Linked DNA regions of Caenorhabditis elegans. The protein of the gene in region 1 purifies or fractionates together with the protein of each later gene. This does not show direct contact. Each region holds a gene or a part of one and is shown on either strand. Other genes may lie near its edges.

Region 1 (6,749 bases):
CTTCACACGTGGTGTCAGGCTGTCCCATATCAGCTTGGTCTACAAAAAAATGCGGGAATTTTTTCCCAGAAAAATGTGACGTCAGCACGCTCTTAACCATGCAAAATTGGTTAGGATGTATGTGTCAACTTTTCGAAGATCAAACCGACATGGGACATTCTGACACCACATATCTTCATTTTATTCATTATCAACCTTTTTGAGCAATTTGGAATGTGAAACCTTATAAAATTCCAAATTCAAAACCTCAGGTTTAATCTTGTCTTGTGAAATGCACAAATAATTCCTTCCTTGCAATCAGAGAAACCTATGTACTATAGTGGTAAATTTCATAGATCATGAGAAAGTTATAGTTTACAAATTATTCTAGTCCTTCTGAGAAACCAAATGAAATCAGTTCATCTTTCCGGTTAGAATATCGTTGAAAAAGAACAAAACAACGGTCAAGTTGGTGTCGATGGGAAGGGGTTGTATTCTGTTAGGAACACGGGTTTGGCATCACAAGGACACCGGGCTCTCCTGCAAGCAGAAGAATTAATCTGGTAACCCATCAACTCCGGACCGATGTGAGAGAATGAAGAATTGGCGTTGCTTATATACCCGCTCACGGCCGAGTGGCAGACATGTTCATGTGAAATGCAGAGAGACAGCTAGCGATTGCAATTGTGACAAATTTCGTAACAAGAAAAAATATCTTACTTTCACCCGAACATGTTTGCCGCTCGGCCGTGAACGGGTATATAAACAACTGCGATTCTCCATTCTCTCACATCGGTCCGGAGTTGATGGGTTACCCAGTCATTCTTCTGCTTGCAGGAGAGCCCGGTGTCCTTGTGATGCCAAACCCGTGTTCCTAACAGAATACAAACCCTTCCCATCGACACCAACTTGACCGTTGTTTTTGGTTTTTTGAAACGAGAATTCAATAAGGATTTAAAATTGGTTTCTGTTAGTTTTTTTTTGGAAAATCTAGTTAAAAGTTAACCCTTTCATGATATGAACACTTTATCACTGTTTTTCTGTTTTTCAGAATGAATCTTGCAAGGGTCAAAAGCTAAATTGGATATGCAATCTCGGTTAAAAAACCATAAAGTTTCCGATTTATCGGTTTCAAAAAATAATTTTTATTGAAAAAAGTATGGTATCCGTGATGAAACTTACCAAATGTAGATACATAAATTTCAAAGTTTTGTTTTCTAATGAGAATATAATAGGGATTAAAAATCGAAAAACTAGAATCCTATTTCTTATTTGCTTTTTCAGATGAATTAGTTAAAAGTTAACTTTATCAAGATTAAATTAAATTAAATTAAAAGATCCGAGATTTTACAACGTAGCTGTGAACTCGAAGACCTACTCGAATTTCACTTCAGCATCTCCATATTGACATGGAATTTCCATTTCAATTGCAGCAGTCTGTGGAAGAATCATTGGTTCGCCGCCAGCCAGTAGAAAATTGTTGTCTGAATTGTTATGATTAGTTGAAATCAACTGGTACTTTTACCCAATTAAAAAGTTAATAATAAATTTTTTTTTTAATGTTTAAATGATTTTTTGAAAATAGGAAAATGAGCCAATTAAAAATACTCCTATTCAAACATTGTAGGGGTTCGGACATGCGACAGCGATATAGTTTTCTCAAAAAGTGGCAAAATCTAAGTGATTGCCACTTTTTGCATGTCAATGAAAAAATCTAAAAAATTTTTTGGAACGTTTTACTATGATATTTGGCCATTTTGGCATCATATGAGCGTTAGGATTTTTTTTAAATACAGAATTTTCAAACTAACATCAACCAAAACTTTTGCTGAAATTTTCAAATTTTTCAATCTTTTTGGAATGTTTCAATTGATTTTTAGAAACAATTTGTTCCTCTTACCTGGTGTGAAACTCAATGGACTTCCAGAGTCAAATCTTTGCGAGTCAAAATTATTATCTGAGTTTAACTTTGATTTCCAGAATCTAAAAATAGTAATTTTTGAAATTCTATTAAAATTGAAAAAAAAAACTTCATGTCAGTGTCCGCTGCATTATGCCATCCACAATATTCCATATCATCGTCAAAATGACATGTAAGCTTTCCACCGTCGGATACAGTTAGCATTGGTTTCACAGGAAATGGGGTAAGAGATGAGATCGAACGAATTTCAGTTGCGGAGTACGGTAGATTTGATGTGAGGTAGTCAAAGTCAATTGCATTTTCACTTGTACGTTGTAGGGATGAGACTCCGCGAGCTCTGGCTCTTCGAGATGAAAATTGACTGTACTGAGAGCTCAGGGAGTGACAAGCAAAACTGGTATCTGAATTAATTTGAAGGTCATATCTAGCTAAACTTTTGATTTGAATTACCGCGCTTTTGTCTCTAAACCACACCTATTTTTCTGTGCCGCACTTTGCATTTTTACATTTTAGACGCAAAATGGTTCTAATCCGTGTTCCAATTTTCAATATAGAAAAAGCCCTACAAAATGAGCGATTTTTCTAAAATCCCAAAAATTAAATTTTAAATTTTGAATAACCTCAAGAGCGACCATTAACAAATTTTCATGATTTTTTAAATAAAAAAGGACAGAAAAAATTTGGTAGAAAAAAAGATTTCAAATCCAAAACTTTTTAAAAACTCACTCAAACCATAAAGTAGCAATATCAAGACATATATATTAAGTACCATACTTCATGAAGAAAATAGTTTGAAAACATATAAATTTCGATTTCAAATCGCCTTTCTCAAAGTTCAATGAGCGTGTGGTATTGCGTACTCCCGAGAATGAATATGAACTACTGGTAAATTGCCTAATTAGGTACGGTGTTTCACTGTCGAGAGTCACAAGAGAAAGTGGGTCAGTGGGTAAGAAAAGTGAATGAGAGGAAAGATATTTATTATTCAATAGACATGATTGAAAAATGAAACTAGAGATTTTCAAAGACAGAGCTTTGTAGTATAGCCTTGCCAGATTTAAACAGGAATTTCTAAGATATTGAAGTCAGGGAATCGGCCACCACCATCAGTAGACAACATTTTAAATTTTAAATATTCAATTCCTCAAAAATTAGATTCAAAATTTAATTCGACGTTTTCAATCACGTTTTCGCAATTTTCGTTCAATTTCGTGTAATATTTACTTGTTCACAGTTCTCTTCGTGGATTTTGAGTGTCTTTTTTTCGAAATTATTTTGAGGATCTTACGCAGTTTTCACCAGAAGAATTACATAATTCCATGGAATTCCATGCCTGGAAATTTCTTTCACTTTTTGCCGCCAGGTATACGGTAAGCAATTGCGCGTAAAGTGTGGTGTATGCGTACTCGCTTATTTTGTCATCCTTTCAAATTTAGAACTCATTTCAGAGGTTTTCTTTCGACTTCTAAATATTTTTTCTTTGTTTCTGTGGATTTAAATAAACTCCATATGTTTTTCTAACTCTTGGTTCATCTTGAATCACACTCTCTGCTTATAAAACTGCAAAAAATGGCTAAAAACTTCAATAAATTGTAATTAAGAGCTTTTAGGTTTGAACCATGTTCCGCAACCAATACGACGGCGATGTAACAGTCTGGAGCCCACAGGGACGTCTTCACCAAGTCGAATATGCCGTTGAGGCGATGAAGCAAGGTTCGGCAACTGTTGGAATCAAGAGTGAAACCCACGCTGTCATCGTCGCCCTGAAGGTTGGCGAAACAACATGTTAATTTCAATTAATTATATTCGTTTCAGAGAGCGCAAAACGATTTGTCGTCTCATCAGAAGAAAGTGTACGAAATTGACACTCACGCTGGAGTTTCCATCGCTGGTCTCCTCTCCGATGGTCGCATCTTGGCTCGCTACCTCCAAACCGAGTGCTCGAGTTGGCGTTGGGATTACAAGCAAGCGGTTCCAATCAAGAAGCTCGCTGAATCTATGCAATTGAGTAAGCGAATTTTGGAAGCAATTTTCTCAAGACATTGTTCTTATTTCAGAACTTCAAGCCAATACACAATATTATGGCCGTCGTCCATTCGGAGTTGGAATTCTGATTGCCGGATATGACGTAAGAACATCATAAATATAATTGTTCTTTTAAATATTTTTTTGTTCAGAAAGATGGAGCACACATCATTCAAACTGACCCATCTGCTGAAGTCGTCAGCATGCATGGAACTTCAATCGGAGCAAGATCTCAGTCTGCGCGCACTTACCTCGAGAGAAATGTTGATAACTTCGAGAAATGTATTTATTTCGGAATATAATTGATAAAATTGAGCAATTTCTTTTTTCAGCAACTCCGGAACAATTGATTGTCCATGCTCTCCTTGCTCTTCGCGACACACTTCCAGCCGAAGAAAACCTCAACGCTCAGAATACGTCTATTGGAATTGTCGGGAAAGATTCTCCATTCAGTCTTCTCGAAGATGCTCAAGTCGCCGTTCATCTCAACCAAGTTTCCACACATCCACGCACAACTGGCGGAGCAGCAGCAGCAGCAGCTCCAGGTGGCGCCGAACCAATGCAAATGTAGATTCTAATTTGAATCACAGACCATGTGAATTACTTTCGTCTCCATTTCTTTTTTATGTGACCCGTATAATTTATCGCCGGTTAATCTCCCTCTCGTTCCCGAATTAAATTATTTTCCTGCTCCAAAAGATTGATTACATATTAATTTCCTTTTTCCGTTCAACAGTCATGTATATGTTGCAGAAAGAACATTAAAGGAAGCACTTCTCGTCATTCGCGTCCATGCCTTCTGTCCATTAATGATGGATGTCTGCGCCGTAGTACACCACGCACCCGCCGTCTTCCGCTATTCCCCGGCGAGCTGCTCCACGGCATTATTCCATAGTTCTTCTCTTCAGTGTTCCATACACTACTACATCACTCAAATTGTAAATCAGCGAAGAAAGGGGAGCAAAAGAAGAAGAAGGGGAGGAGTGTGTGTGATGCAAGAGAGAAGAGTTTCAAATTTCGTCGAATTGAGATTGAAATCTTCTTTGTCGCAGTCAACTCTTTTCTTCGACCCACTTCTGCCTTTTTTTGTTTTTCGATTGGAGCTCTTGACAATTTTTATACATTTTTCTTCATTTAAAAATCCACAAATAGGTAAAAAAGGGAAGTAGGATTTACGGATCTACTGGAAGTTGTTTTTCTAACAAGCGGTTTTGCTTATTATGATCACGAGCAAAACCAAAAATGTTTCCCAAGCGAACCACAATCAATGCCCGACACCATTGTGTGTGCCGCTTCTGAATGAACTGAATAGAATTCTCTCGTTTCTTCCACCAATTCTTCTTTCATTCCTTGTGCCATTTGTCTGACAAGCGAAGAGAGAAAAGAAGAGCGCCCTTAAATGAATTTGTATCGAGCCAATGGCATCGGAGGGCCATGCGGCTCTGTGTGGCGTGCGTTTCCTCACTTCAAGCACTGCCGCCACCAGCACCAGCACACAATGTTCTTTTCGGCAGGAGGCGAGGTCTATTCAGCACTTTTTCTTCACTTTTAGACCAAGTTTTCGAACACTTTTGCACCGAGTGCACACATTGATTCGTGGAAATGATTTTTTTATCCTTGAAATTGTTTTTCTGAAGAAAATATATCCTGTAAATTTAAAAGTTCAAGTGTTTATTTAAAAATAGTCAATTTAATTTTGGAAAATAAATTTTTTTTAACTGCAAATAAGCTTGTTCGGTCGACTTATAGGCTGATTTACTCATAAAAATTTCAATTCAATGGAAAATATTATTCATTTTTACTTAGACGTCTAAAAAAATACATTTTATTTTTCTTTTATTATATTTAAATTTATTCAAAACATGGTGCAATAGAAGCACGAGCTACAGTAAGTTGCACAGTATGCCGGAAATTGTTTTCTTTAGACGTCTATTATTTTTTCGTGAACAGTCAAACCCCGCTTTAAAGGCACACGATCTTTTTCTGAGTGGGTCTCGACACGATCTCAGCTATAGTGATCACAACAAGTTCCAAATTTCACAAAATTGCTGGTCTTACTTTACGAGCATACTTCACGGGCAAATTTGAGCCAAATAGAAAATTTCTGATTCCCAAAAACAATTTAATATGCCCTTATTATGTAGATGTTTATAAATGGGCATTTCTGTCGAGGGTTTCGCCACGAGAACAGCGAGTATAACTGTATTATGCAATAGTGGCTCATAAATCGACACGAGCTACAGTAACTCCTTGCCCGCGTGGTGAGACCTTGCGCGTAAGATATGGCGAAAATTATCATTTACAGACGTCTACGTAATACATGCTGAACCAAAATATTGTTCGATATTTGACACTAGAGATAAATAACCGTTTTTAACTATAACAAACAGGCCTAAACTTTGATTTTTTGGTAGAAATATATATGCTTTATACATGCACCTCGTAATAAAATGCTATTTCCTGAACTTTTCAAACTCTTTAACTCCTTCTTCTGTTCATCATAAATCTAAACTGAAAAGTTTAAGACACTAATCCTGGAGCCGAATACGAAAAAGTGCTCGTGGAAGCTTTCAAGCTGGATACCATCATGAATTTGGCCGGTTCTACTATTCAGGCATATCGCCAGTAAGTTATATTTTTAATTTGAAATGAGAATTGGAATTTAGAGTGTTGAATCATTTTCTTATCACATGCATTACTCATCAAAAAATGTTTGAAAGTTATTTCCGCTAGGGCTGTAACAAAAAATGTACAGTACATTCTAAGCGGATACCCTAATTTTCAAAAAATTTCAATTTGCATCTACCGTAAAATAAAAATAAAA
Region 2 (9,221 bases), on another chromosome or scaffold:
TCCGAAAATACGGTAGCCGGTCTCGGTACGACAAATTTTTGAGAAATACAAATGAGTGCGCGCCTTTAAAGAGTACTGTAGTTTTGAACTTTTAAGAAAAAGTTGTCGTGTTGAGACCAGGTACTGTATTTTTGGCGCAAAATTTGAAAATTCTTCAATTTACAATTTTGAAATCGAATGTTTTTAATACTTTTTTTTAATACTAGGTGTTTTCTCGTATCTAACACAACCAGAATGGTACTTTCTGCAACAACGATTTATGAAACAGTCAGACAAAATGGGACAGATGACATAAGATGATTATCATATAGGAGAGGGGAGGGGATAATATAAACTTTGAAAAAAAAACCGGCAAACTTTTGAAATGGAAGCAAATAAATAATAACTAAACTCATGGTAACACAACAAACAAAAAATCAACGATAATAAAATAAAGGAAATGTTAATGTTCATAACGACAAGCTTCTTGTCCAACTGGACAACCATCTGGATGATGAAGTGACATCCAGCATGGTGCTTTTCTGATCGTTTCCGCCTTTTTTGGCTTCCAGGATTGACGTTTTTGAACAACTGGCTGACGGAAATCACGAAGACGAGCAGTGGCTTGGTATACCTGAAAAACAAGAAATAAACATAAATGTTCTGTACACCAAATATGCTTAAGAGTAAAATAAAAATGTCAAAACATCGACTAATCTTCTTATCTATTGCCGTAGTGCTCACGTGAAAGATTTGATGTTGATTTCGAAGAAAAGTTTGAAGTCCTCCGTCCTGATCTTTCATTAGTTTTTTGTCTTCTTCTGTGAGAAGCGCAGCAAGCTGGGCCAAAGGAACTTCACCTCCACAACGCCATCCACTGAAAAAATGAAACAATATTTTCATTTCTAGAGGCGGTTGAATTGAAACTAACTCTCTGACTGCATCAGAATAATTCAAAACAAAATCAAATAATTTCTTGGCGATTCTTTCACGATCAGTCACAGGAATGTTCATACAATTCGTTGTTTTGATTTCCTTTGGTCTTGCAATAAACTTTTGTCCTTCAGTCATTGAATTGATGGTTTCGTCCACATTTGGGCATAGTCCTCCTTCTGGAACACGTCCGATAATGCAAAGCTGAAAATATTGAAATTGTTCAGGAGGAAATAGGAAAAATAAAACATACTCTTTTCGTGCTCGGAATCGCCAATCTGTCAATTTTAACATCAAATCCAAGTCGTTCAGCAACTGAAACGGTCCACTCGAAGAATGACTCATACTGTGAAACTATTCTTTTTGGTCCTAAGTGGCTTCCGTTGTTGGCATACTTTCCGAAAAAGTTGAATGGGCAACATGGAATCAAGAAGAAATTGCAGTTGAGTCTGAAAAATAATTTTTTGTAAAGGATTTTGAAAATTTTATGATCTTCTCACTTAGCAGCCATAACTGGAATCCATGGAGTTAACTCGTCACTGTGATTTCCAATGAGCAAATCCACATCTAAATCGAAGTGCGGTTCATTTTGAACGACAATTTGAGGATCGACAGGCATTTCGCGTAGGTCCACATCTTTCAGAGTGGTCTTCCAAATGTTTCGATGACGAACGTCAATTCCGTATCCAGACATCTAAACATTTATTTTTTTAAATCTAAAGTTAAATCAAATGAATTTTATAATTAAATCAATTTTCGATTAAAAAAAAAATCTTACTCCGATTTTGTTCAAAAGATGAACAAGAAGACCATTTCCGCATCCAATATCCACGAATTTATTCGGCTTTGGTAGGAGATCAGAATTGACAAGCTCCTAAAAATATTTTGAAAGATGGGAATTTTATTGAAATAGATAAATTTTACATTTATATATGAAGCAATCCCACAATCCTCGAAAATTGATTTTTGTGGATTAGAGTTTTCTGTCCATCCTTTGATCATTCCTCTGCCATAATCCTCTCGAATATGACGATATGTCTTGATGTAGGACTCTTTGTCGAGTAGAGAATTTGTCTTTCGAGATGATCTGCAATAAACGTTTAGACTTTGTTAAATCATAGCGTTCTCACTTTGAAAGATCAATTCCTTTCAACCAAGTGTACAATTGTTTGAATGCTTGTTTCTTCATAAATTCAAAATGTTCTTGAGAGGAATTAGCTTGCTTCAAAAACTGAAGTTGAATGGATGTATCTGTTGGGATTTTAATGGCAATTGAATACGGGCTCTCGAAATGTGGGTGTTGCATTCCATCGAGAGTAATTGGGTAGAATCGTACAAGGAGTTCTTCTGAAAACAAAAACATCATTTCAAAAGAAGACTAACTTCGAAACAAACCTTCATAGTAAGAAACTTCAAACGCATTATCTGAGAATTTATTATTAGCGAGATCCTTGTGTATGATTTTCGTAATAGCTATTTCGCTGCAATCTCTCGGGCAAAATTTGTAATGTGTTTCAAATGTTCTTAAAACTTCATTCCATAAATCTGAATCTGTATCCACTGAAACTGAAGTTGTAATTCTGTTACTGATAGCGTTTGGATATTCCTTCCAAAGACTGATAATCTGAATTTTTCTTTCAATTACAATATTCCAAATTACAATAACTACCTTATCAAAAAACGCTTTTGGATCAATAACCTCTTCGTATTCGGCGATTTGTTCTACAATAACTGTCCATGTTGAACCAGGAAACATAAAACGCCTAAAAACGTAAAATTTTAATTGAATATATTGGTAAACTAGTTTTTCAAAGGAAAAAGAAAATTATTCAATAAACTTTTATTGATTAGTTCGGCCGAAAATATCCAACACGCAGAAAGGTAAGCTTTTCGAAGATATAGAAAGTTCTAGAAAATTCGGAAATGTTCCTCTGAAAACTACAAAAACTAAGTCAGACTGAAACCAATGTCATAACTATGTGCAATGAGCCTTTAATACAGTAACCACCGCATAGCTTTGAGACGATCAGTGAAAAATTAAGCATTAGAGCGGTCAAACTAGACACCAATACACTTTTATCTGATTTTAAAAATTAAAATATGCTATTTTTATCGGAATTGCTGGGAAAAATATTGTCTAAAAATAAGAAAACAACTTTGAAGAAAATGCGCCAACACCCATGTGCTGGCGCAATTATCGATTAGTTGACGCACATCGCGGAGGATGACAATTCTGACCACAGCGGGAAACCGCGAAATTGTCAGCTTTTATCTGAAAATGTATGTGTTTTTGGACGAAATTTGTCATTCGCAATCATTCTTTTCGTTCGGTTCATCCATTGTTGGTGTTTGAGTAATTTTATGATTTTCTAAAACGCCTGATTTATTTTTAGACGTTTTCTAATTTGTCTTTTAAGACGAGAAAGCTGTTTTTCTGATAACCTAGAAAAACATTTTATAATAAACTATGCTTCGCAACTATCTTCTCCTAGCTGCTCTCATTTCGGATTGTTTTTAATTTTGATTTCTTTCAGATGTTGACATTGTTGAACAGATGGAGATCTCAGCCAGGAGGCGCTTCAAACGCAGGTATCAAAACTAATATCTATCAAGAAACGTTGTGAATTGTTCATTTTCAGCCGCATTCATTCGTGTTCTCGAGTCACCGAAATCAGCAGTGACCGACAAAGTGCTCGTTCTCAAAGCATTTAACGATTGGGATGTTCTTGTGAACACATGGTTTGAGGTCGCTGACGCCCTTCCAGCTGTAGAGCAGCTCCTTGACAACAACACGTTCCCAGAGCATTCATCCGCTGCACTGCTCGTCTCCAAAGTTTATTTCTGCTTGGAGCAGTATGAACGTGCTTTGGAGTTTGCTCTTCGTGGTGATTTCAACGTCGTTCCTGCTACAAGAACCGGTCTTGGAAACGACGCAGAATATGTTAACAAGATCATCGAGACGGCCATTGACACGTACAAGACGCTGAGCAAGCAAGGATCTGGAATTCCTCAGAAACTCCGAGATTTGATCGACCGAATTGTTGCTAGAAATCTGGATAAACGAGAGATATGGTTTGTCATCTCGTTAGGATTTGAGACGACCAATCTGGCTATGATCGACAGGGCCATTAGCGCGATGCCTGCAGATTTGACCATCAAGAATCAGAGTAAGTCAATAATAACTAAGCTGAAACGTCATTCTTTTTTGTGCAGCTACACTTGTCGAAACGCTCAACCGTGTTGTCAATGGCGCGTTCGATCGTTCATTCCGATTCCAAGTTATCGATACAGTCATCAAGACGTACTTGAAGTGCCCATCGCCGGACATGTCCAAGATTTGCGAGGTATGATTTATACAAATATCGAAGTAAAATTACAAAATAAACATTTTCAGTGTTACGTGCTCACGGATAACGCCGAGGCCGCTGCTGACACGATTACGAGTTTGATCGCGAAGTCTCTCAGCACTCGTGCATATCAGATCGCATTTGATTTATATGAAACAGCGAGTCAAGGATTCCTCGATCGAGTTTTGAAACGTTTCCAACAGCAGGATGCTCGTGATGAGAAGTCGATGGAAAAGATTCATTCAATTCTCAAAGGTCATGAAACTGTCAAGGCTTACCTCGACTTCTTTGTCCGTCATAATCACACTGATTCTGTTCTAATGGAAGAGATCAAGGAGAACATTCGAACAGCCTCTGCCCACAATGCTCTTCTCATCTCAAATGGTCTTATGCAATATGGAACTACTTGTGACGATTTCCTCCGTAACAACTTGAACTGGGTTTCCAAAGCTACGAACTGGAACAAGTTCAATGCGGTCGCTTCACTTGGACTCATTCATCACGGACAAGAATCGTCTGCAATGAAGGTACTTGAGCCATATTTGCCAAAGGAATCTGTCGAAGGATTTGGATTTAAAGAGGGAGGAGCAATGCTGGCATATGGATTGATTCACGCCAAACACGGAGATGCAACTGCCATGAGCACTCTGGCTCAGTGGCTCAAAACCGCCGAAAACGAGCCAGTGAGACACGGAGCTTGTCTTGGATTTGGAGTTGCTGGACTTGGATCGTCTTCTGTTTCGAATTACGAGAAAGTTCGGGAAGTTCTCCAACGTGATGAAGCAGTTTCCGGAGAATCCGCAGGAATCGCCATGGGCCTTATCATGGCTGGACATCTGAATCAAGAGGTGTTCAATGAGCTCAAGCAATACACTGTTGACACACAGCATGACAAAACTCAACGTGGTATCCGAACTGGACTTGCCTGTGCCGCATTCGGACTCCAAGGAGATGCTGAGCCTTACATCAAAGAAGCAATCGGAGCTAAGAGCAATCCAATGCTCCGTTCCACTGGAATCTGTATGCTGTCGATGGCTTACGCCGGAACCGGATCTCCAGATGTAGTACGCCGTCTTCTCGAGAAAGTAGCCACCGATCCAAATTTGGATGTCAAGAGATACGCTACAATTGGTATCGGATTCGTTCTCTCCAAGGATCCATCAACCTGCTTATCCTACGTGGCCATGCTCACCGAACATTTCAATGGACATGTCAGATACGGAGCAGCTATGGCACTGGGAATTGCTTGTGCTGGAACAGGAAACATGGTAAGATACTTTTTTCTGAAACCGGGGTTTGATATAATGAATTGTTTTTCAGGAAGCTATTGCTCTGATTGAGCCAATGATTTCTGATAAGGAAGGTTTCGTTCGTAAAGGAGCACTTCTTTCACTTGCTCTCATCATGTGCCAGCAGACAGACTACACTTGTCCCAAGGTGAACGGTTTCCGTAAGCAATTGCTCAAAAAGGTAACTCTATAAGAAAACAATCAAGTTTTTCAATAAATGTTTGTCAGATCGGAGAGAAGAACGAGGACTCTCTTGTCAAATTTGGAGCAATTATTGCTCAAGGACTTCTCGACATCGGAGGGCAGAACGCTGCGGTCACAATGCAAAATTCTGACAAGCAGCCAGATATGGGATCAATGGTCGGAATGATGTGCTTCCTTCACGGATGGTTCTGGCACTCGATGCATTTCTTCATCGCCCTTGCTGCTAAGCCATCATGCCTTGTGATGATGAACGAGAATCTGAAGATTCCAGTACTTGACTACATCTGCCATGCCAATAGTCAGAAGTTTGCCTATCCACCACGAGCCGAATCAAAGAAGGATAAGGATGTCAAAAAGATTGAGACTGTTGTTCTGTCCATCACCGGAAAGAAGAATGCGTCAAAGAAGCTGATCGCTGAGGAGAAAAAAAGACGAGAAGCTGCAGCTTCCGCTTCTAGTGCTGCTGCTGCCCCATCATCATCGTCCACTTCAGGAACAGCACCAGCTGCTGAAGATGAGAAAATGGAGGTTGATCAACCAGGAAAATCCAAGTAAGTTTGGAATGAGTGTCTAGGAAAAGTAGAATTCGTTTTTTTTGTCATAAAAATTAAAAAACCAAGATTTCCAAATTAACTTACAATTATTTCAGGAAAGAAAAGGCTCCAGAAAAGGACACGAAGCCATTGCACCGCCTACAGAATCCAGCTCGTGTGATTCCTGCTCAACGACAGCTAATCTCGATCAGTGACGCTCGAGCCTACAGTCCCATGAAGCCACTTTACAAGGGTGGAATTATTGTGGCGGATCGTGTTGATAAGGAGAGAGAGGAGAAGCTTGTCAGTGAAGTCGTCACTCAGGTCAATACTCCTGCGAGCTCTGGAAATACCGAAAACAAACCCCATTCGACGTTCGAGATCAATATCAACGATTTTTGATCAATTGCTGGATCATTCGATCAACTCTATCTCGCTCCCCCAATCCCATTCAAAACTTTTTTAATTTATTTTCCCCCTTCTACTCTATTTATGTTTGACTTCGAATCAACATGAACCCGCTGATTTTTGTATTTGTGTGTATACCTGAAAATGAAGAACATTTCACTTACATGAATTGAAGTCAAGCGATAATGACAAAAAATTTATTTTTGTTAAACAAGAGATCCTTTCTGGCCTCAAAATCTTGCTGTGTTATTCAAATGAAACAGCAACAAAAATGAATGAATAAATTCTGAAAATTTTAATAACGAAAACGTGAAGTAAAAAATTAATTTAATTATCCTCCTCGTCAGTTGATAGAATCTCGCCGTCTGATAACTCCTCTTCGGGATCTCGCTTTGGCTTCGGAGGAACAACGACCGCTGGTGTTGACGTGGATATGGCTGGCTTTTTAGCAGGCGATGGAGCTGCTTTCCGCGATGGAGGAGACTGGTTTACACGTTTTTTGGTGGGAGTGTCGAGGTGTTTCTGTAAATTTTGATTTTGAAAACATGTAATCGGGAAATTTTAAGCTAAAACAATATAAATAATAAAAACCAACATCTCTTCCTCTATCAGAAGACGACTTCTCTGGCAAACGATCCCTATCTTTTCCAAATTTCCTTCTAGATGTCGTTGGTATTTTATACTCCATACGTTCTTTTCTTGATGCGGACCCTTGTGGTCCAGAAGAACTCGTTGATAATTGAGATTGAAGTCGTTCTCTATCTTTTTCTCGTTCTTCTTCTCTATCTCTTTCCCGTCCTGCAGCCATTCGATAATTGGAATGTCCTGGCCTTGAAGGAATTGGGGGAGCGGATATCGATGGTCCTGTCGACGATGATGGTCCCTCTGTTTCAGCTCTTTCAGCGGTGTCTGCCAAACTTCGACGGATTGATTGAAGACGATGAGTCTGAAAATTTTAATTAATTTCTGACTATACCGCATCTGTGACGCGTAATGAATTGAAAAATAAGATGCGAAAAATGTGATTTTAATATTTAATTTTAAATTACCTCCATAGCCACCATGGATAACTCCATCGATTGTCGATCAAGTGTTTCAATCTTTCCTCGCAATCTTGCACAAAGCTTCATAAAAACTGCTCTCAAATCCTCTGGAGCAATGCTATTCAGCGCTTCCTCTTGTGTCTCGTCGTTTACTAAATTCTCCACAATATCAGTAACTTTTTCATCGTCTATAGTGACCATGCGTGGTGCTGTCTTGATTCGCGTACATTGAGCCATTGCTTCTTGATTTCCATCTTTAGCGAGCAGGAAAAGTGGATCTGAAATTTGAATTCATAAGTTCATTTTTCTTTTAAAACAATGACTCACTAATCCACAAGGCTGTATAATTCCAGGGTTGAAGAATATCAAAATATTCAGATGTCATGAAATTTTCCGTTGGTGAGTTTGAGCCCAAAATAGAATCAGCAGTGAGTTGAAGTTCAGGCAATTGTTGAGGAAAAACGCCTTGAAGTACAAATTCTCTACGCAGTTCCATGAGAATCATTCCGAGACGATTTCCACCAATATAAGGAGGTCTGAAGGCCATTGGTCGAGTACACAATTCGATAAGCTGAAGAATTTTAAATTATTTCTGCTAAAATGCCTAAATGATTAAACTAACTTGTTTTGTTGTGAGATCAACTTCTTGTAGCCAATATCTGAAATCCATTTCTCGCATTCCCATACTTAATTCTGCATCCATCGATGAGAACCGTGAACAATAAACGAGCATTGAATCTCCCGTGTCTAAAAGAGCTCGTAAAAGTGCAGGATGTTGCTCTAAAAGCAGCTGTAGTGATTCTTTAATAAATTGCATTCGTTTATCCATCCACCAAGTTTGTTCCAATTCGAGGCCACGTCCACGAGATTCGATGACTTCATGAAGACGTGACCAACATTGAATTGAAGATGGTCCTTCAAGGATGTATTCGGTATCTTCTTGGTTCATACTCAGAAATCTGAATTTAAAGTTTTAGATTTCTCAATTATAAAAAAAAATCTTAAAAACTAACTTTGCAGCTTGAGTAGCAACATAGTGAACTGGAGAAGGCAAAGGTGGACCATCAGCGGAACATCTGATTTCCGCAGGATAAAGTGGATGGAAAACCGACTCTGGAGTGAAACAGATCACGTTGGGTGTGACTATTCCGCTTAATGGGTTGAGATTCATTTTGGAAAGCTGAAATTGAAAAAATTATTACAAACAAAAAAACGTCGAGTTTCAATGAAATCAAATATGTTTTACGGTTTGAAATAATTTTTACAAATTTAGTCTAGAACTAACCTTAACTAAAGGTATTCTACTTGTTGTTTGTAGTGAAAGCTTTTCTCTGAGCTCCATGAGTAATAATCCTGACTTGTTTCCGTACAAATGACGGACGCTTTTTGGTGTATTAGTCTCCTCTCCATCCAACATCCATCCCACTAATTTTTCCGGCGTCACGTACGATTTTGTGAGAAGGTGCTGCAGCTCAACTTCAGTTG
Region 3 (7,539 bases), on another chromosome or scaffold:
TCTTGCATGGTGTAATTGAGATCGAACTCTCGGGTGACCAAACATCTCCTGTATCTTTGAAGGAGTTCTCTGTTGAACATTTTGCATCCAGGTTCACGGCTGAGGTGTTGAAGATCTCCGCTGACGCATAAATTGAACATCTTTCTGGTAGGAGGCGCCATTTCAACTACTCGCATCGTATCGGAGAAGTCTTCTTGTTGCTCTCGGAAAGCGTCGTTTGAAATCATAGTTTCAGCATCGACAATCAGCTTTCTCGCTTTTCTCTGACGTTTTTTCCGTCCTTCCATGTGCTCCACATCTAGAGGCTCCAGGGCAAATGACTCGGGACTTTGTGGTCTCGATGGCTCAACGTTTTCAGGCTCGAACGGTTGATAGTCAAAGTCCATACCATCGTCGTTTTGAACATCTGCGACAGCATGCTCTCTGACGGGATGAATCATTGAGCTGAACATATCAGCAGGCCCAACACCACCATCGTTTTCCAGTGTTTGATTCTCAACCTTCAGGTTCATTTCAGGCATGAAATTTCCGCCTTCCTGATTGTCAAAAATAAGATTTGGACGTGTTGGTCCTTCGGAGAAAATCACACTATCCGCATCTATACGGGAAATTTCCGTTCCATTTGCAGCCACATCACGATCTCGTTCGACTTCCATCAACGATTCTGGCTGAGGAGTGGGGCGCAAAGACAAAGGTTCCACCGATCCGTAGAGATGATCGAGTTGCCAAGATTCTCCTTCGTCACCGAACCCATCGAAATCTGCGTCAATGTTGAACTCGACATTGAAATTGACGGTTTCTTTCATGGTGATGTCTTCACGACGGCTCACATTAGCCTGAAACAGCGATTAAATTGAATGTGAATTGCTTTTAATACAACGCACCATAATGAGCTGCTCATTGTAGTCGGCATCGTGGAACTCGGGCACTGTGATATTGTACTTATCAATGAAGTTTGAGAAATCCTCTTCAATTTCTGCATTCTCTGGAATGTCGACTTCAAAACTGAATCCGTTGCGGAAGTTAATCTTCATCTGAAAATTTACTTTGTTTTTGTCGTTCTAAATTATCTTTAATTACCTTTTGATACGCTTCATTTGTATCAGCCAGAAGATATCGTGTCTTCTTCGAGTAGATTCTCACGATTCCAAGGAGAAGATGTCCAACTGTTCGGAGCGCCATTTTAACCTTGGGGCGAATGACTTCCTCGATCGCTTGGGGAACATCTGTTTCGAAGATTTGCGCCTTTGTCAGCTTTTTTTCCCAGTGAGCTGCCAGCCACACTTTTGCCAACGGTCCCTTTTTGGCGAGAACGAACTGTGCATAGAACATCTGAAAATAGCATGAGATAAACAATAGATTGTTAACGTCAAAGAGATCATAGATTAGAAAATTCCTGAGAAAACATGATAAAAGAGCAAAAACTGGAAGAATAAGTATGTTCAAATGATCACAATGAGAGAAGCAATAGTTTTAAAATGAGGCAAACATTGAAAATGCGGTAAATTTCTGATGATGAAGACAAAACGCTCGAAAAATCGTTTTCAAATATTTTTGTCTTCCTCCTCCTGGGTCTTACCGCGATTTGAGGTACGGTAACACTCGTTTCAGCTGTGCGGATTGTCACTCAAGAAATAATTATTTTCTACTCTCTACCTTTAAAATTTTTGTGCATTTAAAAGTAATATTTTTATAGGTTTTGAAGTTATTTTTCAATTAAAAAAGCAGAACTATATATTCTAATTATTGTTATTCCAGATATGGCCGACAGACGCGAACCGATCCCGGTTGACCCGGTCGATGTCGGAGAACTAAGCGAACTTGACAATTTGGCTCATTTGGCCGCTCATGTAAGTTTTAAAACGTTTTCGAGAATTTATCTGTAGATTTCATTAAATGATTTTCAGGGTGGAGATGGTCGTTTGTTCAAAATGGAGCAGGACTACTCGAAACAAGTCGACGAAGCACTTCTGAAAGCCCGAGATATCGCTCAAAAGGACGCTGTTGCTGCTGTAGAGAGTCTGAACAACATCGAAAAGCTCACTCGTCTTGGAGCTGACATGAAGAGCAATACACGCGTTGTTCAATATATGGTGATAATACTTTTCAAATTAAAAAAAAAATATTAATTCTGATATTTGCAGACGAAGCTTTGTTTCGAAGGGCAGAAATGGGATCTTCTTATGGAAACAATCATGACGCTTTCAAAGAAAAGACTTCTCATCAAAATGGCTATCGCAAAGATGGTCCGTGATGCTGTCGCAATGATTGACAAAATGCCAACCGAGGACCTCAAGATGAAGCTTATTGAAACTCTTCGCACTGTTACAGCTGGAAAGATCTATGTGGAAGTGGAACGTGCTCGCCTCACCTCGATGGTTGTGAAGAAGTTGGAGAGAGAGGGAAAGCTTGACGAAGCTGCAACCATGCTTCTTGAACTTCAAGTGGAAACATATGGCTCCATGGAAATGCGAGAGAAGGTGCAATACCTTCTCGAGCAAATGAGATATTCTCTCGTTCGTAATGATTTTGTGCGAGCCACTATTATCTCTAAGAAAATCAATATCAAGTTCTTCAACAAGTCAGACGAAGATGAAGTACAGAACCTGAAGCTGAAATACTACGATTCGATGATCCGTATCGGACTTCACGATGGAAACTATCTGGACGTGTGCCGTCATCATCGTGAAATTTATGAGACGAAAAAGATTAAAGCTGATTCAGCCAAGGCGACCTCACATCTTCGTTCTGCCATTGTCTACTGTCTTTTGGCTCCGCACACAAACGAGCAATGGGATCTCCTCAACCGAATTGCCATTCAAAGAGAATTGGAAACCGTTCCAGACTACAAGGTAAGCTGTGCGATTTGAATTTAATCTAATTATTGTTTTCTTTTCAGATCATTCTGGATCTTTTCATCAACCAAGAACTCATTTCTTTCAAAGGAACCATTGTCGCAAAGTACGAGAAGCTTTTAAGACGTGGAACAACTAGCTCACCAGACACCGGAATTTTCGACAAATCAACTGAAGGAGAGAAGCGGTGGTCTGATTTGCACCTTCGTGTTGGAGAGCACGTAAGTTAAAATTTTAATAAGTTAAAAACCTGTTAAAATTTATAAATTTTTATTTGTATTTTTACAGAACATGCGTATGATTGCCAAGTACTATACTCAAATCACTTTCGAACGTCTCGCTGAGCTCCTCGACTTCCCAGTTGATGAAATGGAATCATTTGTGTGTAACCTCATTGTTACCGGTCAGATCACCGGAGCAAAACTTCATCGCCCTTCCCGTATTGTCAATCTTCGTTTGAAAAAGGCAAATGTTGAGCAATTGGATGTATGGGCGAGCAACGTGCACAAACTGACGGATACATTGAACAAAGTTTCCCATCTCATTCTGAAAGAGCAAATGGTTCACAAGAACTTGGATCTCGCGGCCCCACGGGCATAAATTTAACCACTTTTTTGTGTATAATTCCGCCATCATGTGTATTTTTCTTATTGATGTTCGCCCTCCCCAATTTCTTCTTTTTCGTGCACCTTCTCCGGTTTTATCATTAATTTATTAATACTGTCGATCGATTTCATCCTTTCACTCTTCGGTTTGATAGTAAACGTATACGTGCTCAATGTGTATTACTAGCTTTTGAAGAAACAATTTTATGGAACAAGTTGTAAGATAGAGGTAACGGGAAACAAATGGATCATCACAGGTTTGAGTTGATTTTCTAGGAAATTGATAAGAAGCTATAACATGAGTGCACCAATTACTGATAAACTTGATATCCATTCTCATCCTCTTCCAAATGTTCTCGTTCAGCAGAAACCAACAACTGAGCTAAATCGGTTTTGTGGACGATAAAAGTGAGGAAAAGTGAGGTCAACATGAAGCATCCACAAACAATGAAAAGATATTCAAATCCGATTTCAGAAAGAGCATGTGTTGAAATGAGTCCAGCGATTAGTCCGGCGACACTCTGAAATGTATTCATGTATTCGCGAATACGGTACCCGGTCTCGAAACGAGAAATTTGTGTTAAAAACAAATAGGTAAGCGCCTTTAAAGTGTACTGTAGTTTCAAACTTTCGCTACTGCGACATTTTCATCGTTTTTCTCACATTTTTTTAAATGTATGTGTTTAAAATGTTTTATTTCATTTATAAAAATTCCGCATCGACGCAAGTTTGAAAGTACAGTACTCTTTAAAGGCGCACATCCCTTTGCATTTAACAAAATTTTGTCGTGTCAAGACCGGGTGCTTTTTCACAAAAACCGGAAAATTTCGCATCCCGGTAATAAGTTCCACTTACCACTGCACACTGCAAAAATCCATACATAACACTGAAATTCGCCTTACTAAAACACTTGTGCGTGATGTAAGGAAAGATTGAAAATGTGCCTCCGATGCAGGAAAACATCAGACAAACCTGAAAAACTGTAATTTCAATGAGAAAAAAAAAGAAAAAAACGAACGGTGGCCAAAAACAGAACATCATTGGATACCATTTTCACCAGTGGCATCGAAAATGCCAAAACTGCTCCCAGGCTGCACACAATCGACATGGAAAATTGATAGGATGTCTGAAAATTTGATTTGAAATTAATTATTGGAAAATCAAGACCGCTCCGCCTTCAAACGTTGGGTCTCGTTAGGTATTAGCGGTAAGAATTTTTAAAAAACATGTTTTCGGTATTTCTTTAGAGTTTAACTGTTTTGTCGCCAATACCCAACGAGACCCGACCCTTGGGGGCGTAGCGCGAATTTTTCTGCGACTCCATAATAAAATAACCGTATCCGCAATTGCACCCCAAAAAACTCTGCTCCCAGCGTTGAAAATCGAGGATATCGATCCGATCAAGCTCAAAAAGAAGTCAGAATCGATAAATTGTTGCCCATAAGCTTTGTAGAGACCACTTGTGAGTTGGACCCAAACGGCATTGCATGTCAACGACAGGAATAGTACTAGGAAAGTTGTGGTTCTGAAAAAAAAACCCGTTATTTGTCTGTATAATGCCTCGCGGCAGGACTTACCGTAACTGCGGCCAAACCCTCGCCTGTTCCACGCGAATTTCACTGTTCGTCCCAATCAAATTCTCCGTTTCAACGTGAATATCGCCTTCCGGTTGCCCGATAAAAATGAGCCCAATCGATTGAAAAACCGTAAAAAAGATGGACATCACGATGAAAACGTAGGGAACCCGTTCCAAAAGATCCTCTTGAGTGAAGAATCCTTGATCGTTGACACGATAATCTAATGGATTGATAAAAGTGGTTTGAAGGGGTGACAGGATGAATGCACCACATCCATATCCACCGATTATGATGCCTCCGGCTAGGCCGACATTGTCAGGGAACCACTGAAATTTTGAAGATTAGCAGAGGTTAGGGGTTTTGAAAAAAAAATTAGATTTTGGAAATCAAGACTTTATTTGAAGATTTACAACAAAAAATTTCAAAAATTACCCTCTGAGCAGTTGGCAAAATGGAACTGTAGGCAATGCTACTTCCGACGCTTGCGATGCCTCCCATCGTAAGCAGTGTTGCGGCGTAGGAGTGTTGAATTGAGTAGAATGTTGATCCAACACCAATTCTGTAACAATACAGATCATTTTTTGTTAAGCACATGGTGCATCGCGATCTGTAACTTTTTTTAAACTCACGTATAAATAATTGAACCTAAAAGTGCACCAGCTCTTCCACCAAACTTTCTCTCTACAAGACCACCAATCACCATTCCCATCGGGAGACCGCCTGAAATTTCAAAATGTCTGGTTTCTTGAAAGTATGGAAAAAAACAAACTCAAAAGTGTCTGCAACCAAATCAATTGCCCCGTCCTCATATCTGGATACATTTTCCATCGGAAATACGAGACAAGGTACGGTAGAAGGTTACCTGGAAATTTTATAAATGCTTCAAATTGTTCAGATTAATTCATAAATTTTCCAAAATTAAAAATTCTTCAAAAGAAAACCCAGTTTTTTCCAACAAATGGCAACTTTCAAGTAGTATTCGAGGTACTTTTTAATAATTTCCAATCAATAAAATATTTTTCTATATTATAAAAATAAATTTAAATTTGAAAACAAGGATTATCACACCGAAATTGGTAGTTTTGTAGATTAACCGAGACCGAGAAAGCTCGCCGCCCACCCATTAAATTTTTAAACCGCCATAATTTGTCAACTGTGAAAATAATCGAGAAGCTGTCAACTGATAAAATATTTAGAATTAATTGAAAATTGTTTTCCTAGTTGACAATTTTTCCTATTACTCACGGTTACAAAGTTTTAATAAGAAATGTTGGAAGTTTTCCCGAAATATTTGCTCTCCAATTTGTTTTGATCTCACAAAATCTTTCTAGATTCTATAACAATTTAAAACCTACCACAAGTATAAACGATTCCAAAAGTCACCATACACATCACACCACCTACAAGTACCGCCCACGGTCTAGCGCCACGTGGCAATCGCTTTAGTATCGGATCATCGGTTTCCATTGGTAGTCTGCCAAAAAACGATGAGCAGGTGAAGCATGACATTTTGAATAAATTATACAATATATACAGATATGTAATGATTGAACCCGAAAATGTTTAGGAATAATGATGCCATGCGAGATAGGGAAAATGTACCTAGAGACGCAGGTGGTGTAATAACTAGACTGTGTGGCATGGTATAGAGACGCAGACGGGAAATAAAGGAACACACAAAGGACATCAGCTGAACATGGTTTGATCTATGGATTTAGAAAACCAGGAGGTTCTAGGCTAGGAGGAAATAGAAAGTGGATTTTCACCAAATAAAATCTATTTGAAGAAAAATAATTCGATTTTTGAAATTACCAAAAAACGTTGATTCTCACTACTTTCTTATCAATTTCTTATTAATTTGTAATCAGTAGATACTGAATATGCACACATTTTTCTCGTTGTCTGCTCTCAATGCTTTATTGAATATGACAAAAAATCAGTGCTAGTTTCCATTTTGAGCTGGTCCATTGCCGTTGTTGTTCGGTCCATGGAGAGGAGGAGGTGCAACTGGCAATGGTGGAGCAGGATCATCAGGCTCATCGAACGGAGGAGTAACTGGAAGCACAAGGTGTTGCATCGGCATGCGACGATTCTGAAAGAATTTTTGTTTCACAGTTTATTCGCGATTTGTGCATTGTCTTAGAATTGTGTTTATAAGGATCCTTGGATCCTCGACTTACCTCTCTCAATCTCTCACGAATCACGGGCGGTGCAATAACGACTCCCTCAAATACCAAATCTTCATTTGGAGCCGCATTCAGACGAGTTCTCAACGCCATCACATCTTTCTTGGCTCCATTGTTATTCTTCCACTCAACCAAGCTAAACTGCCAGGATAGATTTCCAACTGAGACATCCTGGAATAAAGACTTGAAACCTAGTAAAAAGTTAGAGTACTCACGTGACGTCTTAAAAAGTTTGAACTATTTGTCGTCGGAATGTATGGTGGACGACGGACCAAATGCGATAGAATGGTCACATTAGCCAGATTTTCCTTTGGAC
Region 4 (7,529 bases), on another chromosome or scaffold:
TTTTAGTGATGAATATTTTCGCCTTCTATGATTGATATTCTCAGATAACAATTCATTCGTAGAAATATAGTGATGTTGAAATTATCAAAAAGGGAATGAGCAGAACGGAACGAAGAATATGTAAAATATGGAACGGAAATGGATGAAATAACGAGTCATTTGACGAATTAATAACAGAGGTTGCGGATGAGATGGCATAATATTTGACCGAGGCAATTACTTCTTTCCTGATTTCTTGATTCCTCCACCGACTGCAAAACAGGTTGATAGTTTAATGTTATTTTACTGTTAACAAATAACTTACGAAGTGGTCCACGTTGTCCAGCCTTGGCTGCCATCTCCTTGATCTTTTTGGCTTCCTCTTGTTGCTTCTTCTTGAACTCGACGTCTTCCTGTAACCATGAAATTATTATACATTTTTCGGATCAAAAATTCTCACTATGACCGTTTCAAATGACTATTTATATTAACAACTCATTCAAAATTTAAAATCCTATTCGGTGTACGGAACCATGGCGCCTCCAAGTATCATGATTTCTTGATAAGTGTTCAAAAAATTATATGAGATTATCGTTTTCATCAACCTACGCTCAAAAGTGTGACAATATTGAACGAAAAACTGATCTATTGGATTTCTTCTCTCATTAATCAATTAGTTTTTTTTTGCAATATTACGCCCATGATAAGTATAAAATATCTAGTATCATCATCATTTTCACCTCAGAAAGATCCTTCTCCGTTTTTTTTGCGGCCTTCAGTGGCTTTGCCTTTCCTCCTTGACGTCCGGACATGATGATGATTGGCTGAAATTGAGTTTTATAGAGCTAATTTCACAAAGATTATATTTCGAACAATAATTGTACAAGAATACATTTACTCGTAAACACATATTCACTATGAATCTCCTACTTCACATTTCCTCTCTATTACTACAGTTATGGCTTTGGTTTTTTGATAGATTCATAATGTATCCATTAATGAGAATAGTAGCACCAAAGTTAGGTGTTCGTTTCATGAATTTGGGCTACTGGCCATCATCAGCACCTCAGTACGCAAAAATGAGAATGTTCATGGAAGATCTAGGTGACCTAGATGAATACGGTAAAATGAAAACACTAATCGAGGTTTCCTTGTTAATTTAAATGTTCAGAGTCGGATCGAGCTCATATTTATCTCTATGAAAAAGCATTATCAATGCATCCAAATTATCCTTATTTTGAACAATTTGAAATTCTTGAAGTGAGCTGTGGTCAAGGGTACTCTCTCGATTGGATAGAAAAGTAAGTGTCTTGCATTTTTTTTAAAACGAGAAATATGGAACACAGGTGGCATGGACCAACAAAATGCATCATTGGCTGTGATAAAGTTGTCACTAGAAATATGAATAACATAGTCTACGGAGATGCACTAGATTTACCGTTTGCAGATAATTCGTTTGATTTTGGTAGGATCATATCAAAAAATACCAAAAACATCTTGAAATTAAGTTTTGAATGTGGAAGCAGCTCATCTTTACTCGGACTACAAACTATTTTTCAAAGAGGGCTCACGAGTTTTGCGATCGGGTGGTGCCTTCTGCTACATGGACATTCGATATCCCCATGAGGTTAGTCTACTTGTAAAATTTATATAAATACAGCTAGTGATTACAGGCAAAACAGATTCAGGAGACAGCCACAGCAGCCGGTTTTGTAAAGAAACATTTCGAGTTTTGCACTGATGAAGTAGTTGAGGGCTTAAAATATTCAGCGAGAAAATATGATAGGCTACTAGAGAAAGTAAACTAGGCCAAAAGTTAAAAAATTTGTATATAAATATTTTAGGCTCCTTTCTTCGTTAAATTCTTCAAAAACTCGCTGCGAGCAACGTACTGTGCTCCTGGAACATCAACTTATGAACGATTGAAAAATAAACAGCGGATCTACATCGCAGCGATGTGGATAAAGAAATAAAGAAATGAAGAAGTGAAGAAGTGAAGAAGTGGTATTAAATAACATGTAAAAACATTTTAAAGATAATAAAACAATTGGTATTTGACCAAGAAAGTGTGAATACAGTTTTAAAAATACAGCGATGGTAATAAATTAATTCATTCAACCGGAAATGATGAAGAAGTGGGGAGATTCAAAGCGAGTTAACGCAAAGAAATAATACGGGAGAAGAAGAATAGGGTAAAATAAAAGGATTTACACGTTTGAAGAACTGGGCTCGGTTATGCATTGATAACTCTGGCAAGCTTCTGAATGCGGTTGAGCAATATATCTCCATCCTTGATAACTGCCTTGTACAGATGATTCTTCGAGTCACGATGATTCACTTCAATCACTCCGTTAACAGCATCAATACGACATTGCAATTGCCCAGTCGCAATCAGACGGTGCAATTCGCGGTCGATGAAAGCACGGGAAACACCAAAATCCTTGGCCATCATATCGATACGTACAGTCTTGTAAGGAGTCAAAAATTGTTCGTAAGCGCGATGGCGCATTCCACGAGAGTAATAGTTGAAGTGTGGCGATAGATAGCGATCAAACTTGAACTGAAATATAACGATAAGTGAAAAATACAAGATTTGTTTTAGTAACTTACTCTCTCGCTTTCAAGAGCGGCCAACTGAATGAAGAAACGATCGTAGTGACAATCATAGTATGATTCGAGATACTCACGAACTGGAATCAATGTTCCATTGAGTCCCCCTCCGGTCAGCTGTTCTTGAACTTCATTGCAACGAATAACCTTGGTACGAAGGTCTGGTCTGTCCAAAGCAAAGGTTGTGGTGATGACAGTGTAGAGAATCAAGTTTTCATATGTCATGAGCTCGTATGATCCGAATGTTGGCACAGCTTCAAGGAACAAATCAGCGGCTCCAGCAAAATCACGAACAGACATTCGGTAAAGCGCTTCGTAGGATCGAAGGCGATTTTTGCGTTCCCAGTCTCCTCCTTGCTCCATAAGTTCTTTTGCTTTGGTGATAAACTTGTTGATGAGATGATGATCGAGGAAGAAAAGTCCAACACGAATCATGGCGAAAACTACATCAATACGATATCCCATACCGACTGTCTTCTCATAGGTGGCTGTGTACGCTTTCAGAGCGTTGTCTTTGTCACCGATCTGACAGTAGTACTCGAACTTGCGGAGTAATCCCTGACGCACTTCAGATTCGCCAAGGTTCTTCTCCGCGTCTTCAACTTCTGCGGTGATTTCATCGATCTTTTTCTGATTAGCTGCTTTCATTGCAGCCAATTGTGTTGCATCTACGACAATTTTGAAGTCAGCGCAGACAAGCTCGTAGAATGGCGCCATGTCGAATTCTTTGATAGTTTCCTGAAGCTTCTCGAGCTTGGCTTCTTTCACGCTGCTGTCTACTTCGGGATGATTGAGCATGAATCTGGTTTGTGATAACTCAAGATCAGGCCATCTTGAAATGATCTGAAAACTCTGAACTTGAATGATTTCAAAACTACTGATCCGTACCTCCTTATCGAAGTTTCCATCATCTACGGGTTTCTTCGTGCTCTTTTTGGCAGCCTCTGTCATCCTCCTTAAAATGAAATATGAACACTTGAAATTGTAGCAAACGTTAAAAAGCGGCCAAAACGGAAATAAAACTGTTCAATGGTATTTCAAACGTGAAATAGCATTTTAGTTAGTTTTCATTAAATTTGCTGTAATTATCGAAATATAGATTTGGTATTAATTTTAGTGTCTAGTTTGTTAGTTTTTGAAAATAAGCGTTGATATCTATTTTAAATTCGTAATAGTGCCTTATTTTACATTACAGTGAGCGGCACAGTGAAAACTACGTTAAAATATCTATTTCATAGTGCATAAACAGACAAAACCGTATCAAAATTCAAGAAAACTGGGGGAAAAATTCAAAATGGGACGAATAAAAGTGGGCGGGGATGATGACAAGGGTTTGCAATACGCGGCGCATGCTTTCGCAATTCCGCCGCACGGTTTTATTCATCCTTTCATTATCGAGCGCTCTCGTTATTAGCGTTTGAACGCAGGAAACGGAGCATTTGTTTCGCATTCAGTTTTCAACCGCCATCCCGTTGTATTGAGAAACATGGTTAAATTGCATTTAAAAACCACCTGCCGTGAAGTCCCGATCGAAGAGATAATTTCTACTGGACAGATCCAATTCTTCAAGCATTTATCAGAAAGTACTTCCGAATTCAAAGACCAAAAAAACGTTGAACGTTTCCGTAAGTTTATTTCTTCAATTATCGATCATATTTATTTCTTCAATTATCGAATCAATCACTTTTCAGGTTTGATTTATAACGGAAGAGCATTGAATGAAGAGAGCCTAAAAAAGATTACTGATGCTGATTCAATCAGAGTCGTGCTGCTTCCACCGCTTAAAACAAATGTCAGTTTTTTTCCGTTTGAAACCCAAATTAATTTTAAGATTTTCAGAACCACATCGAAGAAGAGCAAAAAAATCGAATCAGTATTGCTCTCAAGGAGTGTACCGCCCCATATACACGCCCAAATGATCGTCGGCTTCATGGTTTCAACCACGACTTTGCACTTCCAGATCACATGACAACGCTTCTTGAGAAACACCCACAGCTGGTTCATGATAATCAATTTTTATCTGTTCTGAGTGATTGGTCATTATTCCGTGCCTATTGCGTTCAGAACGATTTCAAAGATGATCCAATTCGGGGACAATTCATGTACACGAATCCCGATTTCTTGAAAGTAGTAGAAAATATTCTATCGACAGTAGGATCTCGTTACGGATACGAAAACCTTGATTATGCAAACGTGGAAAGAAATAGACCAGGAATGCTTGCAGCTCAGCGACCAATTGGAGGTGCTCAACCGGTTACTCATGCGTTGCTTCAAAATGTAAGATTTCTTGGACACACTGATTCTCATAATTCGAAAAGAATAATTGAAATATAATAATAGTTGAATACATATTTCTACTAAATTCTCCATGCCAATTTTTTCAGGCTCTCCAAGCAGCCCTGGCAAACATTGCAGTTCCTCCGGCAAATCGGGTTCCAGCTCCCGCCAATGTCCAGCCAGCGCAACAGCAGCAAGAAGAGCCAATGCAGCAAGGATATGAACAACAAGCTGCGACTCTCCGCGAGTTTGGATTTGAAAATGATGAGCTCATTCAGTTGGCTCTCGAACAGGCGAATGGAGATGTGCAAGCGGCTATGGAGTTTCTTATTGATCTCCAAAATTAATCTACACCAATGGTTTTATTCTGTCTTCTCATTAACTTTTTCTGTCTATAAGTGTTCATAATTCGTTTTTAATGCATTCAAATTGCCCTATTCATTCGTCAATAGGGCTAAAATAATCTCATATCTGTTTAAAATAAAGCAGTGAAATGAAATCACCGTTTATTCGTCTAAATCACTCTTCTACAAACTCTTCTCTGCTTATTTAGTGTCTCTGGGTCACTATAACATCGGATAACAACTTATTTCCCTGGGGTTGGGAATGGCAATATTCACTTCGCTTCTGATTCAAAAAAAAATACAAAATAGTCCAGTACATCGGCAAATACTCTTTTACTACGGACATATTTTTTACTACTTCTTATAGTGATTATTACAACGAGTTGAAAATGCATTTTTTATAGTATCATACATTCTAGAAATTAACAATTGTACTTATCAATTAAATAAAATTAGATAGGCCACAGTTTCAGTTTATGCTCGAGTAGTTCTAGCAAATCTGTGTTGCTTTCTTCTGACGGGATACTGAGTTGGAGTTGGCGGAGTGATACTGCTGGGTTACTGTAGTGGTACTGTAGGCGCAATTAATATTTTTTCGCAGAATCAACAAATTTGTTCCATACCTATTGTTTTTTTTGAAAATAAAAAAACATTTCCTGGTCCGTTCGGTAAAAATTTACCGTATTTCCTCTATCAGTTTTGCACCCATTCATCTGTTCCCTATGCGATTCAAATTTCGCATTATAAACACATTCTACAAATTAGGAAAACTCTTACAGACTTGGTATATAAAGTCAGAATTGGTTAGTTATGATTACAACTCGGCCAATTTTTGGCTAGCATTCGTAAAATTCGTTCTTTTGGCCCAATTTTTGCTAATTTGCTAATTTTTGTGTTATAACAAAAAGTTTGCTCTTTTATTGATTAAAGTGGTAATAAGACAATTTCTTCCAATTATCAAACTGTAAAGCCGACATTGGACAATTCTCCGAATATTCACATGTATGTTTAACATGTTTCAGGATTCAATTTGAACATTTTCCATTTATGAATTTGCAGAAGAGGATCGTAACCCATCACGAAGAATCTAGAAGCCCAATCTTTGGTAGTATTGGCTCTTCACATCATACGTTTAATTAAACGAATCAATGAATAATTCGATTTACAATTTTTATTTTCAATCTATGTACATAACCAAATAGATCATTTTTTAAACTTATATAAAAAATCTAGAAATCTTTGAAATCATAAAACCATGGTTATGTTCTTGGTTATTCAGTTCAACGAGTCAACTTATTCAGTTAAGTCAGTTATTCAGTTCAACGAGTCAACGAGTTAAATACCAATTGCAACCAGAAAACAATCTGAGAATCCAAAAACCCTGCAATTAGAATTTTGTTTTCTTCTAATTGTTTGAAGTTTTCACGTACACAAATCAAAAAGATCAAGCATGATTATTAAAGTTTTTGGAGAGCAGGTTATTTTAAATTATCCAAGATTTACCGTTTTTATTTACTTTTGAGATTAAATTATAGACTAAATGCCAACTAAAAAATCTTAATATGATCATTTGAACAATATAAAATCACGAATCAAAGTTTAATAAAATAGTTTCCTTGGTTTGAATGATTTTCCTAATTCACCTGTTTTTTAAAACTTCAATTATCACGAATTTCTTTTAAATTTTTTTTTGTTTTTGCTATTTTCCTCCTTTTTTAGTTTCTGACATGGTTGGATTGAAATAAAAAGAGATTTCAAGCGTTTCAAAAGTTCATTGGCTTTAAACTTCTTGATAATAATACATTTTTATTCAAATTTTGTCTCTAATGGGGTTATTCAAGTAATGTAGCAAAATGTATTAAAATACATTTGTGACGTCACAAATGTATTTAAATACATGTTTTTATATACTTGAATAAGGTTGTGACGTAATTTTTCTACACTTTTTAATTTTCCGACACTACTTGAATAACCCCATAAGGACTTTTTCTTCACTGTGTTCGGTTTTGAAGTTATTAAAATATATTTTAAAGTCAATCACAAAGATGGGACTTTGCCAATCTACAGTGGACGTTTCCCCAGCAAAATCGAATTCCGAAGAAAATGTGGAAAAAGAGTAAGATTTTTAGTTTTTCTATGTTATCAATTTAAACATACTCCCAGAAAATTTGTTTGGGAATTTAAATGGAACAAAGAGCATGTACGAATTTCAGCGAATTTATAAGTTTGCTATTTACCAGTTAGTAATTTTAAAGAATTTTTCGATCCTATATTGAATTAAAAAGTCAAATAATTTTTGAAAGGACTCCAAATATGTAC

What was found.
Region 2: the proteins of pas-6 (region 1) and rpn-2 fractionate together in Caenorhabditis elegans (co-fractionation; one large-scale study listed by BioGRID). This does not show direct contact.
Region 3: the proteins of pas-6 (region 1) and rpn-5 fractionate together in Caenorhabditis elegans (co-fractionation; one large-scale study listed by BioGRID). This does not show direct contact.
Region 4: the proteins of pas-6 (region 1) and rpn-7 fractionate together in Caenorhabditis elegans (co-fractionation; one large-scale study listed by BioGRID). This does not show direct contact.

The regions. Positions count from the first base shown.
Region 1 is NC_003283.11:5,581,105-5,587,853, reverse strand, and holds pas-6 (Proteasome subunit alpha type-1), read left to right. Parts: upstream 1-3,510; 5' UTR 3,511-3,519; coding exon 3,520-3,669; intron 3,670-3,715; coding exon 3,716-3,908; intron 3,909-3,957; coding exon 3,958-4,028; intron 4,029-4,077; coding exon 4,078-4,207; intron 4,208-4,257; coding exon 4,258-4,496; 3' UTR 4,497-4,693; downstream 4,694-6,749. Other genes in the region: CD4.11 (MAM domain-containing protein), read right to left, coding at 1,358-1,463, 1,880-1,962, 2,010-2,301, 2,627-2,672. UniProt on the Caenorhabditis elegans protein: The proteasome is a multicatalytic proteinase complex which is characterized by its ability to cleave peptides with Arg, Phe, Tyr, Leu, and Glu adjacent to the leaving group at neutral or slightly basic pH.
Region 2 is NC_003281.10:6,195,740-6,204,960, forward strand, and holds rpn-2 (26S proteasome non-ATPase regulatory subunit 1), read left to right. Parts: upstream 1-3,440; 5' UTR 3,441-3,446; coding exon 3,447-3,501; intron 3,502-3,551; coding exon 3,552-4,079; intron 4,080-4,125; coding exon 4,126-4,256; intron 4,257-4,306; coding exon 4,307-5,527; intron 5,528-5,579; coding exon 5,580-5,729; intron 5,730-5,776; coding exon 5,777-6,303; coding exon of another isoform or gene 6,304-6,307; exon of another isoform or gene 6,308-6,401; coding exon 6,402-6,687; 3' UTR 6,688-6,855; downstream 6,856-9,221. Other genes in the region: C23G10.7 (putative tRNA (uracil-O(2)-)-methyltransferase), read right to left, coding at 443-613, 697-856, 911-1,116, 1,166-1,361, 1,413-1,606, 1,691-1,786, 1,837-1,999, 2,043-2,259 and 2 more; sna-3 (NADAR domain-containing protein), read right to left, coding at 7,021-7,215, 7,289-7,639, 7,743-8,014, 8,064-8,307, 8,359-8,695, 8,750-8,916, 9,022-9,221. UniProt on the Caenorhabditis elegans protein: Acts as a regulatory subunit of the 26 proteasome which is involved in the ATP-dependent degradation of ubiquitinated proteins.
Region 3 is NC_003280.10:4,692,514-4,700,052, reverse strand, and holds rpn-5 (PCI domain-containing protein), read left to right. Parts: upstream 1-1,758; 5' UTR 1,759-1,760; coding exon 1,761-1,850; intron 1,851-1,907; coding exon 1,908-2,093; intron 2,094-2,144; coding exon 2,145-2,852; intron 2,853-2,899; coding exon 2,900-3,076; intron 3,077-3,143; coding exon 3,144-3,455; 3' UTR 3,456-3,632; downstream 3,633-7,539. Other genes in the region: scc-1 (Sister chromatid cohesion protein 1), read right to left, coding at 1-836, 885-1,034, 1,081-1,332; F10G7.5 (MFS domain-containing protein), read right to left, coding at 3,772-3,981, 4,316-4,432, 4,479-4,586, 4,796-4,985, 5,038-5,363, 5,470-5,596, 5,667-5,757, 5,807-5,899 and 1 more.
Region 4 is NC_003282.8:9,312,654-9,320,182, reverse strand, and holds rpn-7 (26S proteasome non-ATPase regulatory subunit 6), read right to left. Parts: upstream 3,545-7,529; 5' UTR 3,541-3,544; coding exon 3,478-3,540; intron 3,433-3,477; coding exon 2,590-3,432; intron 2,540-2,589; coding exon 2,213-2,539; 3' UTR 1,953-2,212; coding exon of another isoform or gene 1,824-1,952; 3' UTR 1,779-1,823; coding exon of another isoform or gene 1,653-1,778; 3' UTR 1,607-1,652; downstream 1-1,606. Other genes in the region: F49C12.11 (Translation machinery-associated protein 7 homolog), read right to left, coding at 217-251, 305-392, 720-791; nemt-1 (Methyltransferase type 11 domain-containing protein), read left to right, coding at 897-1,101, 1,151-1,280, 1,326-1,444, 1,488-1,606, 1,653-1,778, 1,824-1,952; F49C12.9 (UBA domain-containing protein), read left to right, coding at 4,076-4,214, 4,281-4,381, 4,429-4,866, 4,974-5,213; F49C12.7 (CHK kinase-like domain-containing protein), read left to right, coding at 7,256-7,326. UniProt on the Caenorhabditis elegans protein: Acts as a regulatory subunit of the 26S proteasome which is involved in the ATP-dependent degradation of ubiquitinated proteins.